Macaca mulatta: one gene and its partners. The protein of the gene in region 1 purifies or fractionates together with the protein of each later gene. This does not show direct contact. Links are inferred from orthologs where the notes say so. Each region holds a gene or a part of one and is shown in the gene's direction. Other genes may lie near its edges.

Region 1 (3,668 bases):
TTGCGTATTTGTTCAGTGTCCACATAGTGCCACACAGTTGGAAGTCTCTGTCCTGACAGGTGTTCTCAGGGTGCACAGGTGCCTAGAGGAGGAGGACACAGCCCAGCCTGGAGGGGCAGGAGAGGCTCAATATGGTGTCTACACTGATGCTTGAAGGAGGAGCAGGAAGTAGCCAGGTAGAGAAGAGAACATAGGGTAGTTAGGGTGAGGGCACAGATGCACACACATGGCCCAGACTCACACACAGCACAGTCATCTACATGGCACATCCATACACACAGCACAGACACACACATGTAGCCATACATATATTCATGTACATGGCACATCCACACACACAGCACGGACACACACACGTACCCATACTTACATTCAAGCACATGGTACAGGCACATACATGACCCAGATGCACACAGGGCACCAGAGCCACAAGCTGCCCAGGGTTTGAGGTGGGGAAAACGTAAGCAGTTTGCTGTTGCCGTATATCCTGGTTCTCTGTTACTATGTAACAACCCACCCAAGCCAACTGTGTGGCCGAAACAACCCTTTATTATACCTCTGGTGGCTTGTTGGGTTGACTGGGCCAGACAGAGATCCTTGCTGGGGATCTCTCTGGTGGTCACAGTCAGATGGTAGCTGGGACTGGAGTCGTCTGAGCACTCAGCTGGGCTGAACACCTGAGATGTGTGTTTTGTTTTTATTTTTTATTTTGTTTATTATTATTATTATTATTTTTTGAGAGAGAGAGAGTTTTATTTACTCTGTCACCCAGGCTGGAATGCAGTGGCAAAATCTCGGCTCACTGCAACCTCCGCCTGGTAGGCTCAAGCGATCCTCCCGCCCCAGTCTCCTGAGTAGCTGGGACCACAGGCATGTGCCACCACGCCCAGCTAATTTTTTTTTTTTTTTTTGGTAGGGACAGGGTTTTGCCATATTGCCCCAGCTGGTCTCAAACTTCAGAGCTTAAGTGATCTGCCTGCCTCAGCTTCCCAAAGTGCTGGGATTATAGGCATGAGCCACTGTGCCCAGCCTCTATGTGTTGTTTTTAAAATATACACTGGAGCAAAGCTTATACACTGCTGTAACTGCTCTCTCCTCTTAGCAGTCAATCCTGGAGGAGATCATCCATATCAGCTTTTTAATCATGTTTTGTTGTGCGGATGGATTGCAGTTCATTTAACCAGTCCCTCACGGATGAGTATTTAGTCTGTTTTCTTTTGCAATTTTGAACAAAATGGCACTGAACATCCCTGAACACAAATCTTGACACACACAAGTGAATATATTGGTAGAATAAATTCTAATAATAGAACCGTGGGGTCAAATTTTCAATTTTGATACTCTTCAAAGAAGTTGTACCAGTTCATGCTCTCACTGATGGTGCAGCAACTAGTACTGGTTTTTGCTGGAAATTTTTATGAAGTATAGCATACATGTAGAGAAGTGCCCAGATTACAACTGTACAGCTTGAAGAATTTTCACAAACTGAACATACCTATGTACCCAGCACCCAGATCAGAAGACAGGACATCCCTGGCACCCCAGGAGCTGTCTCTCAGCACCCCTGCAGACAGTCTGCCTCAGGCCTTGAGAATGTCTCAAATGAATGTTCCAAGCCTCTGCTCTTTCCCAGACAGTGTCCTGGACTCAGTACGGGATCCAAGGATGAAAAAGAGGCAGATTGTTTGCAGGAAACTTGCAAATAGTAGAAAGAAGATACAGCCAAAAAGAAATCTTTTACAGGGTGGAATTGCAGAAGAACCATTAGAGAACTGTAAACACAGCATTAAGGGACAGTAAAGAAAAGGGTTGCCGGCTGGCTGGGAGGGGCTAGAAAGGCTTTGGTGAGAGATCATGGTGTTTGAGAAGGGCCTTGAAAGAGCGATGGAGCATAGGGAGGAGAAATGGGATAGGCAGGGGTACAGAGATGGGAAGGCAGTAGTCCAGGGGATAATAAACAATACTGACTGTGACTTAGTAGGGCAAATAGTAGGAGAAGCCAGGGAGCTAGATTGGGGCCCTCTTTAGATGACCCTTTGTTCTGGGATGAAAGTCAGAAACAAAAACCAAAAAAAACTACACCACCCCTGCTTCAAGACCTACTCCGGTTCCATTGTCCAATCCCAAGCCCCTTGGTGGGCAGGTGGAGCCCTTTGTGGTGGTGCCCATCTCCCACCCCACCTCTCCATACTGTATGGCAGACTCCTGGCACCCTCGCTGGGCAGTGCCCCACCCATTGCCATACCTCCCACCTGGCAAACCTTCTCGTGGCACTGTCTTGGATCCCAGCAAAAGCAGCATCTCTTCTAGCCTCTGTTCGCTCCCTGGCTACAGTGTTTACCTTTTTTAACAGTGATGATCTGTGAACACATCTATTTCCTGAACACAACTTTCAGCTGCTCAAAGCCAAGGATGCTGTCTTGTTTTCTGCATCTCCAGCCCCTCTCACAGGGCCCGGGAGTTTCCTAAATGAAAAAGCGAGTGGGAGTTTGTGTTTGATTCAGCTGAGCGTGAAGAACGGTTAGAGATTTGAGGGGTGAGGGATGACTTTCCTGGATTTGTAGTCTTTGGTATTGTTCACCTGGCAGTGGCAAATGTGGAGGGATTGAAGTGGAGGGGCTCATAGTGGCATTGGGAGATAGGACCTGAGTTGTGCCTATCGCCGCTGTGGCTGCTGGAGGATCAGTTGTCAACACAGTAGTGCCCCTCTGTTCTTGTATGACCCAAGCTCCTAATCCGAAATTTCTCATTAATAGCCCATGAACCCAATTCCAGCACCGTTGCCTCCTGACATACCAAGCTTCAACCTCATTGGTGACAGCCTGTCTTTCGACTTCAAGGATACTGACATGAAGCGACTTTCCATGGAGATAGAGAAAGAAAAGTATGTAGCCCCCTGTGCCCTGCTGTGGGCAGCCATGAACCAGAGTGAGTGATTGGGGCCTTGGGAAGCTGGGGCAGAGGTGAGGGGTTGCTGAAACAGCCTGTCATTAGCTCCTACAAAGGTTTGCTCTGCTCTTACCTGCTGGAGGAAGAATTTCCTTAATTGGAAATTAAGGGACAACAGATCAGCATTCATTCTGAATGAATAAAAATAACACTTGACTAGTGACCTGGAGTTTATGATGGCTCTAAACCTCACTTAAAGTGTAGGACTGGGTTGTTAGCATCTCTGAGTCAGTTCAACTGCTGTTATACTACTGGACTGTAGTCGCCTCCTAGTTGAGTTTTCCAGTGACTGGGATCTACGGTGGTTCCCTTGTCTAGAACAAAGAAAGATTAGAGAAGAGACTCAGGCTCAAGGCTAAGGAAAGCTGACAGCTGGTGGGGCCACTTTGCTGCAGTGGATGGCACTGGGCAGGGCCCCAGCATGGGCTGATCATGGCAGCTTTTGCTGAACTGCCCTCCATCTTCCCTTTATGGTGGGTAGAAGTGGATCAGAGATGGAAAGGAAAGGATCCCCACTGCAGAGGAAGTCTAAGCAAGGGCCCCTAGTTCCCAGAGCTAGTGGTAAGTTGGTTAACTGCCACTGCTTGCCGGAGGACAACCACAGCAGCTACCATGCATTGAGTGCCTGTGTGTCAGGGTTTTTGGCTTTTGTCTCATTTAATTCCTACTAACTGACAAACATCAAACTGACATCAAAGGTAGGTTTTCATGTTCCCATT
Region 2 (3,668 bases), on another chromosome or scaffold:
TGAAGGAATTGACAGGGTGGGGCAGGAGGTAGGCTGGTCTCTACTGGCTGGGTGGGGTGAGGTGGCAGCGGCTTAAGGTCTCTGGGAAGGAGTCAAAGGGAATGAGGGAGAAAGGGGATGGGGCAGCCCTGGGGTTTCCCTGAGGAGTCTGGGGAGGAGAAGCTGCAAGGGCAAGGCAGATTAGGGTGCCTGTGGAGGAAGGCGGACTTTTGGGGCCTGGCTCTGCCAAAGAAAGGAAGCCATGGGGCGGGTTTCTGGGAGCTTGCTAGCGGGTGAGAAGAGGGGGGCCGGCCGGGAGGCGTTTCCGCTCCCCGGGGAGCGAGTGAGCGCCGGGCTGTTCTTGGCTCCTCGCTGGAGCCATTAATCTCGCAGCCGCGGGTGACCTGGATGCCTGGCATTCCAGAGCCGCGAGCTGTTCCGCTCCCGGCCCGCCCCCCGCCGCTCCCTCCCGTGCGCGCTGCCTGGCGCCCTTCGCCCGGCTTTGGGAGGAGGGAGGGTGAGCACAAAGGGAGCCTGGAACGCGGAGGTGGGGGCTCGCTCGCTGCCCAGGGCGCATCCCGGGTCCCCTCGGCGCCTCGCCTGCCTTCCTGCCCGCCTCCGCTGGCCTCCGGGCGTCCTCTTCCCACCGGCACCCGGGCCACTTAATTCTTACTGAGGAGCTCTCCTTCCCGAGATCCCACAGGCCCAGGGCTTTATCAGGGTCCTGTTGGCAGGGGATGGCCAGAGCCCAAAGCCTCCCAGCCCCCACCAAGGCCTTAGAGATTGGACAAAGCTGCAGGAAGCCTCTGGAAGCAGAAGGCTGGGTCCGCTGGCCCCTCCTCCCTCCCCTAGGGTTGGGGAAACCCAGGCAGCTCTTCCTTGCTCCGTAGTAGCTATTGCAAAGGCAGGAAAGATGTGTCTGATTGACCTCCCTTTTATCTGGGGTCAGTCAACACTAGGAAAGTGTGGCCATTATCATCAATGCCATCTGCTTTTCCTCCTAGGCAAGCCACGCAGCCCCCCAGCACTGCCTTTCTGGCCCCTCTAGGCCAGCCGTTCCCCCTGGGGATCTGGCCTTGAGGCCTGAAGCCGGCCTGTTAGCTCCACCCCCTTGAGAATGTTTCTCTTCTCCCTGCGTCTCAGGTTCTCCAGCTATAAGATGAGGCAGTCCTTCCCCACAGAGTCACGCTAAGGCTGAAATGAGATGCAGGCCCTGGGCAAACTGTGAACGCACAGGTGGAGTAGGGGAGGGTCCTCCCTGCCTGAGTCCAAACCTGGCTGCTCCTCCACCCCACTCAATGGATTTCAAGCCAGCGAAGTATGAACACATACGTTTCAATATTATTGGACTTCCCCTTATTTTCCTCCATGCCACAGAATGATACCGTCCTGGGCTCAGCCTTCAAAAATCCAAAACGAACCAAGAGCTAACCTGAGTTGCCTCTGTGTCCTCCTTGCCCTGCCCCAGGGCCCTGAGTAAATGAATCCTCCCTTCCGCATGCCAAGGTCTCAAGCCTTCACTCTTCTGTTCCAGAACTTGTACTGTCCTATATCATAGGTGCTTAGCTACATGTGGCCCAAGAATTGAAGTTAATGAAAACAAATAAAATTTAAAATTCAGTTCTTCCATCTTACTGGCCACATTTCCAGTCCTCAGTAGCACGTGTGTCTAGTAGCCACTGCATTGGAGGGTGCAGTATAGAACAGTTCCACTCTGGCAGAAAATTCCACTGAATCAGAATGCTGTTCTAGAGACAGTGCCTTTAGGTTCACTAGCGGGGGCCCACAGCCCTGCCCCGCCTCCTGCTCTCCAGCAAGGTAGGCAGCTGACCCACTCCTCAGGGGGCAGCCTGGGACTCTCAAGGGGCAGGTGCCTGGGAGGTGGATTTAAGGCTAGAGCATCAGATGGAGGGCTCTGTGGTCTGGTTTGGGCCTTTCCTGGCCATGCTGAGAGGGCCTCTGAGCAGAGTTTCTTTGGGTAATTAACAAAATGATACAAAAGTCAGGATAGCTGGACCCTTACACACTAATCCTTGTGCCATAGTCATTTTCATTGTGCTGCAGACTTTGCATTTCTTCCTGAGCCTGGTTGCTTGCATCTCAGTGATCTTTTCAGACCATGGAGGGAAATGTAGCCCTCAACGGACCTCTCGGCCTGGGTCTGCAGAAGGAGCCCCAGAGCTCTGGGTGGCCTCTAAGTACAAACGCCTCACCACGTAGCCAGAGGCAGCCTGGGCCTTTGTAGTGTGGCCAGCTGGAGTTTCCATTTGGCAGCACCATTCACCTCCTATGTTCCTCCGCTATAAGTTGGGAATCCCAAATCCTACCTGGAGGGGCTGGAGGATTCATGGAATAAGATGTGTAAGTGCCTGGTGTGTGGACAGCAGATGGTGGTTCTGTTCCCTCTTCCTTCATTCTCCCACTTGAAGGAGGACCATGTCACAGACCACCTGAGCCTCTGTTTTCTCATCTGTACACAGGCATCACAGTTCCTACCTCAGCAGTCTCTAGCCGTCACAAGGTTCAAGGGATATTGTGGATGTGTTTTAGACATGGTGGCCCCCGGCACAAGTGGATGGTGTTTGGGGCTGTCCCATGGCAGTGTGTCCCAGTAGAAAGGCAGGGTAGCCCAGTTGTTTACTCCTGACTTAAACCTGAGCCTCGGTTTCTTCTTCCATGAAACAGGGTTAATAAGGGTACCTTATTCGTGTTACTGTTGAGAGAATGAGAAGCAACTGTGCTCATCCAGTGGTCAGCACAGAGCCCAGGAGGCAATGGCGCCAGCCAATGTAGTCACTGTCACTGATCAAGCCTCTCTCTCCCTACAGGCTACGAGCAGCAGCAGGAGCAAGAGAAGCTGGAGCGAGAGATGGCACTGCTGCGCGGTGCCATCGAGGACCAGCGGCGGCGTGCCGAGCTGCTGGAGCAGGCTCTGGGCAATGCGCAGGGCCGGGCGGCTCGAGCCGAAGAGGAGCTGCGCAAGAAGCAGGCCTATGTGGAGAAAGTGGAGCGGCTGCAACAGGCACTCGGGCAGCTGCAGGCAGCCTGTGAGAAGCGGGAACAGCTGGAGCTGCGTCTGAGGACTCGTCTGGAGCAGGAACTCAAGGCTCTGCGTGCACAGCAGGTGAGCTGAGAAAACCTGTGCAGGTGTCCAGGCTAGGGCAGCATCTGAGGATGTCAGCTTCCCTTCGTCCTCGGGGACTGTAGGTTTGGAGGCCAGGGCTGAGGCCCCAGGAGCCCCTAGTTAGATCTAGGCTGCAGGCCCCTTGCAGGGCGGCAAGGATGATTGCTCTCTGCTCCACCTTTGCTGCGTGCTCCCTTCCACTTGTCGTCTTAGCAGAGGCCCTGCCACCTGGCCCACATCCAGCCTCAGGGGACTCCTGTCCTCGGCAGCAGCAGGGTATATTGTCCTTGACCTCTAGAGAAAGTAAGTTAGGAACCTGGATATAGAAGGCCCTCGAGCTTTTTTTTGTTTGTTTTTTTGAGATGGAGTCTCACTCTGTTGCCCAGGCTGGAGTGCAGTGGCGCAATCTCCGCTCACTGCAACTTCCGCCTCCCAGGTTCAAGCGATTCTCCTGCCTCAACCTCCTGAGTAGCTGGGACTACAGGCACGTGCCACCACGCCCAGCTAATTTTTGTATTTTTAGTAGAGATGGGGTTTCACCATATTGGCCAGGCTGGTCTTAAAC
Region 3 (3,668 bases), on another chromosome or scaffold:
TTCTCACATATGCCCTCTGGTTTGTTTTTATCTTTACTCATCTTTGCTGAGACCTTATTCTTAAAGACATACGAAACTTGCAGGAGTATAGAGTGATGGTTAGGGGCATGGACTTTGGAGTCATAAATACCTGAGTTAGAATCAATTTTCACTATTCACTAACTGAGTATTCTTGGCAATGTCACCTAACCCTGGTTTCTTCATCTAGAAATTGAGGATAATAATACTTCGTGCACAAGTTGGGAGAACTAAATGAGAGACCATGTGTACCATGCCCTACCCAGTCCCTGTGTGAAGCTGATAGCTGTCATTAAAGGGGCCTCAATTTTTCTGTTTTGGGTTATTCTGTTAAAAAAAAAAAAAAAAAAAAAAGCTTTAAAGTTTTCAGGCCGGTCACGGTGGCTCACATCTGTAATCCCAGCACTCTGGTAAGCCAAGGCAGTTGAATCACCTGAGGTCAGGAGTTTGAGACCAGCCTGACCAACATGGTGAAACCCCGTCTCTACTAAAAATACAAAATTAGCCAGATGTGGTGATGCATGTCTGTAATCCCAGCTACTTGGATGACTGAGACAGGAGAATCGCTTGAACTCAGGAGGCGGAGGTTGCAGTGAGCTGAGATCGTGCCACTGCACTCTAGTCTGGGCAACAAGAATAAAACTCCACCTCAAAAAAAAAAAAAAAAAAAAGTTTTTCAGTATGATTGTACATTGGAACATGAAGTTAAAAAGATGTGAAATACTTGGCTACATTATGTCTTACTAATTAGGTACTCATGTAGTCAGAGCCATTATTGTGCCTTTCATCTTGAGATATATCACTTAGATGACGCAGTGATCTTATTTTTACTAATCATTGTTAGTTAGCAGCAATTGTCAAAACCAGTGGCAGGAATAGTTATCTGTGACTGGTTGTTTATAGTCAGACAGATGCTTGCAGTGAAACTGCTTCTTAATTTACTTGTGTCTGCCCTTGCCCTCACTGCACCCACCTCACCTGAACTTGTCAAGGACAGTGTCTGCCTTCGTCTTTCTGCCCTGGGCCCTGGGATGCCTGTTACCTTGTCCTGACCTGCATCCCAGGCAGGGCCCATAAAACAAGAAGTGAGACAGAATACAACATGAACGAAGACCTCAGCTTGGAGCCTCACTCTCTGAGAGGACCAGTCTCAGTTTTAAGTATTTACTGAGCCCCCATTTTACTGTAAAATACTGAAGTAGGCATTCTATGCTATATGGGCGATAAACAGAAATAAAACCTAAACTCTGATGGGAAAGGTGAGGCATAGGACAAGCATGAAAAAGTACAACCATGGAAATACCAACAAATATTATAATAATAATAATAATAATAGAGTCTATATGTTAGTAGATTAAATCTCTAGGTGCCCGTTTTACATATTCATAACATGCCATGTAGTTAAATACATAATGTAGTCACAGGGCAGAGGGGACTTGATTTTTGAATTTTTTTTGTTTTCCTTAGATACTGCTTAATTCTATCTAGTTTAGGAAGAGAATTGGACAGAATTCAGGAGAGGAAAAGTGGGTGAAGGAATTTGTGGAGTTTTAGCACAGCACCCTGTGGTCACCTCTCCACAAGCATTTACACCTTTCTCTGTATGGGCATCAGATGAGATTGATAACTGAGCTGAGGAAATTGGGAGGGAAGGCCTTCATGGGCCAGTGGGAGATGCAGAGCTGATCTCTGTTCCAGCATGAACACCAGCCTCTCCGTTCTGTGTCTGTTTGCATTGAGACAAAGCAAGAAGGTTTCCCGTGATCAAACACATATCCTTGTGTTGCCAGGGACACCACAATCATCAACCACTCACGGAATGGCAGCTACGGAGAGAGCTCTCTGGAGGCCCACATCTGGCAAGAGGAGGAGGAGGTGGTGCAGGCCAACAGAAGGTGTCAGGACATGGAATACACGTAAGGGATGGCTAGGTGTGGCACGTGGGACCTGCCAGCCCATGTTTGCATTCACACTCCAGGCCTTCCAGAACAGATTGCTTCTCTGTCATGTTCTGAAAGGCTGTGAACATGAGGTCTCCCAAAACTCTCCTCCCCCCTGCCGTGCCATGGAGAGAAGCAAAAGGTTCCACTCAGCAATGGGTCCGGTGCCAGAGTTGTCTGGGGGAAATTGCATGTCACCTGCAGGTTTTAAGATGCAGGCTGAGTCTAGTGACAGAAGAATTTAGATGTCTGTGTTATTTCTTGGTGTCTGTGACATTATGAGCTGAAAAGGGGAAACATTATATTCCGAAGGTTCAGAGTTTTTGAGCCAGAATTTATATATTCCAGTCCAAAATAAAGAACATATTTAGCTAATGCACTCTTCTGATGGGCTATACAAAATTTCCAGCAGACTTTTTGACATAATAAAATTAGCCTGTCCCACTTCACTACCTGAGGGCTTGTGGAACCCTGGGAGCCCTAGGCCTCGTATTTTGCAGATGTGAAAATAGGGCTGAGTAGTTGAGCCATTGATAGACAGGCTCAGTGAGTTACTATCAAAGTTGTGAAAATAACTCAGCATTCTTCCAGAAAAATCGTCTTCTACCAGAGGACCTGTTCATCTTGGTTCTTTTTTCTTAGAAAATAGAGAAATTGACTTTAGTTGAAAGCTCACCCTGTTTGAGGCTTTAGAGTTTTTATGCTTCCCTATCCCCTACCTACCCCCAGCCCCCGCCGCCAATGCTAGACCCTCTAAATATGGTCCCCAGCCCACTTCGGTCCAGGAATGTGGCCAGTCATTCTAACCGTACCTCCCTGAAGTCCCAGTCTCCCAAGGTGCCAGAGAAGGGTGTACTCTTTTGACCTATGACCAAAGACCTGTCTTAACAATTTGGAGATTACCAACATTTGAAGACTCGTACTGTGCTTCATCCTCTATCCCTAAATTACAATTAAAGTCCTTGGGACAGCCTGAGATAAATGTTTCAAGTTTTTCTAGCCAAGTGGCTTTTTATGAAGACTGTTTTGTTTTGTTTTACAGTATTAAAAATCTCCATGCCAAAATCATAGAGAAAGATGCTATGATTAAGGTCCTGCAGCAGCGATCTCGTAAAGATGCTGGGAAGACAGACTCCTCCAGCCTACGTCCTGCCCGCTCCGTTCCATCCATAGCAGCAGCTACTGGGACACACTCTCGCCAGACCTCTCTTACCAGCAGCCAGCTGGCCGAGGAAAAGAAGGAAGAGAAGACCTGGAAGGGGAGCATAGGTGGGCCCCACACCTCTGTCAGGCCATGATTGGAAAAGCAAGATCAGACAGCTTCTCTGCCACTCATGGGACATGGAAATGTCCCTGAATAGTTCCTGGTCTCAGTTTACTCATCTGTGAAGTGGGGAGGGAAATCAATCATACTTCAGTTATAGAAATTCAGTGAGATATGTGGAAGCACTGTGTACATTCTAAAGACTGCACCACTGGAGTAGCTCTTAGCCATGGGTTGACTCAGATCATAATTATCTATTATTGTTATAAGTTGAGGTGACCCTTGTAACACAAAAGGCTGTCATGGAAAAGCCTAGAGACCTCACACCTCTGAACTTGGCTGTGCTCTAGACCAGTTGTATGACGGCTCCACCTCTGCTTCCATGTCTAGAAAGGGAGGACAGTGTCTGCCTGCTTTACCCCATGGGGCATGGGAGGGAAGAATGG

Evidence for each region. Proteins that work in one complex are often made in the same cells at the same time.
Region 2: the proteins of NF2 (region 1) and AMOTL2 purify together in Homo sapiens (affinity purification with mass spectrometry; 5 studies listed by BioGRID and IntAct, with this or other methods). This does not show direct contact. The link is inferred for Macaca mulatta from reciprocal best matches to the Homo sapiens genes NF2 and AMOTL2.
Region 3: the proteins of NF2 (region 1) and AMOTL1 purify together in Homo sapiens (affinity purification with mass spectrometry; 6 studies listed by BioGRID and IntAct, counting the BioPlex papers as one, with this or other methods). This does not show direct contact. The link is inferred for Macaca mulatta from reciprocal best matches to the Homo sapiens genes NF2 and AMOTL1.

What each region holds. Positions count from the first base shown.
Region 1 is NC_133415.1:21,874,641-21,878,308, reverse strand, and holds part of NF2 (merlin), read left to right. Parts: intron 1-2,756; coding exon 2,757-2,884; intron 2,885-3,668. UniProt on the Homo sapiens protein: Probable regulator of the Hippo/SWH (Sav/Wts/Hpo) signaling pathway, a signaling pathway that plays a pivotal role in tumor suppression by restricting proliferation and promoting apoptosis.
Region 2 is NC_133407.1:37,404,978-37,408,645, reverse strand, and holds part of AMOTL2 (angiomotin-like protein 2), read left to right. Parts: intron 1-2,807; coding exon 2,808-3,103; intron 3,104-3,668. UniProt on the Homo sapiens protein: Regulates the translocation of phosphorylated SRC to peripheral cell-matrix adhesion sites. Required for proper architecture of actin filaments.
Region 3 is NC_133419.1:95,656,557-95,660,224, forward strand, and holds part of AMOTL1 (angiomotin-like protein 1), read left to right. Parts: intron 1-1,808; coding exon 1,809-1,934; intron 1,935-3,000; coding exon 3,001-3,227; intron 3,228-3,668. UniProt on the Homo sapiens protein: Inhibits the Wnt/beta-catenin signaling pathway, probably by recruiting CTNNB1 to recycling endosomes and hence preventing its translocation to the nucleus.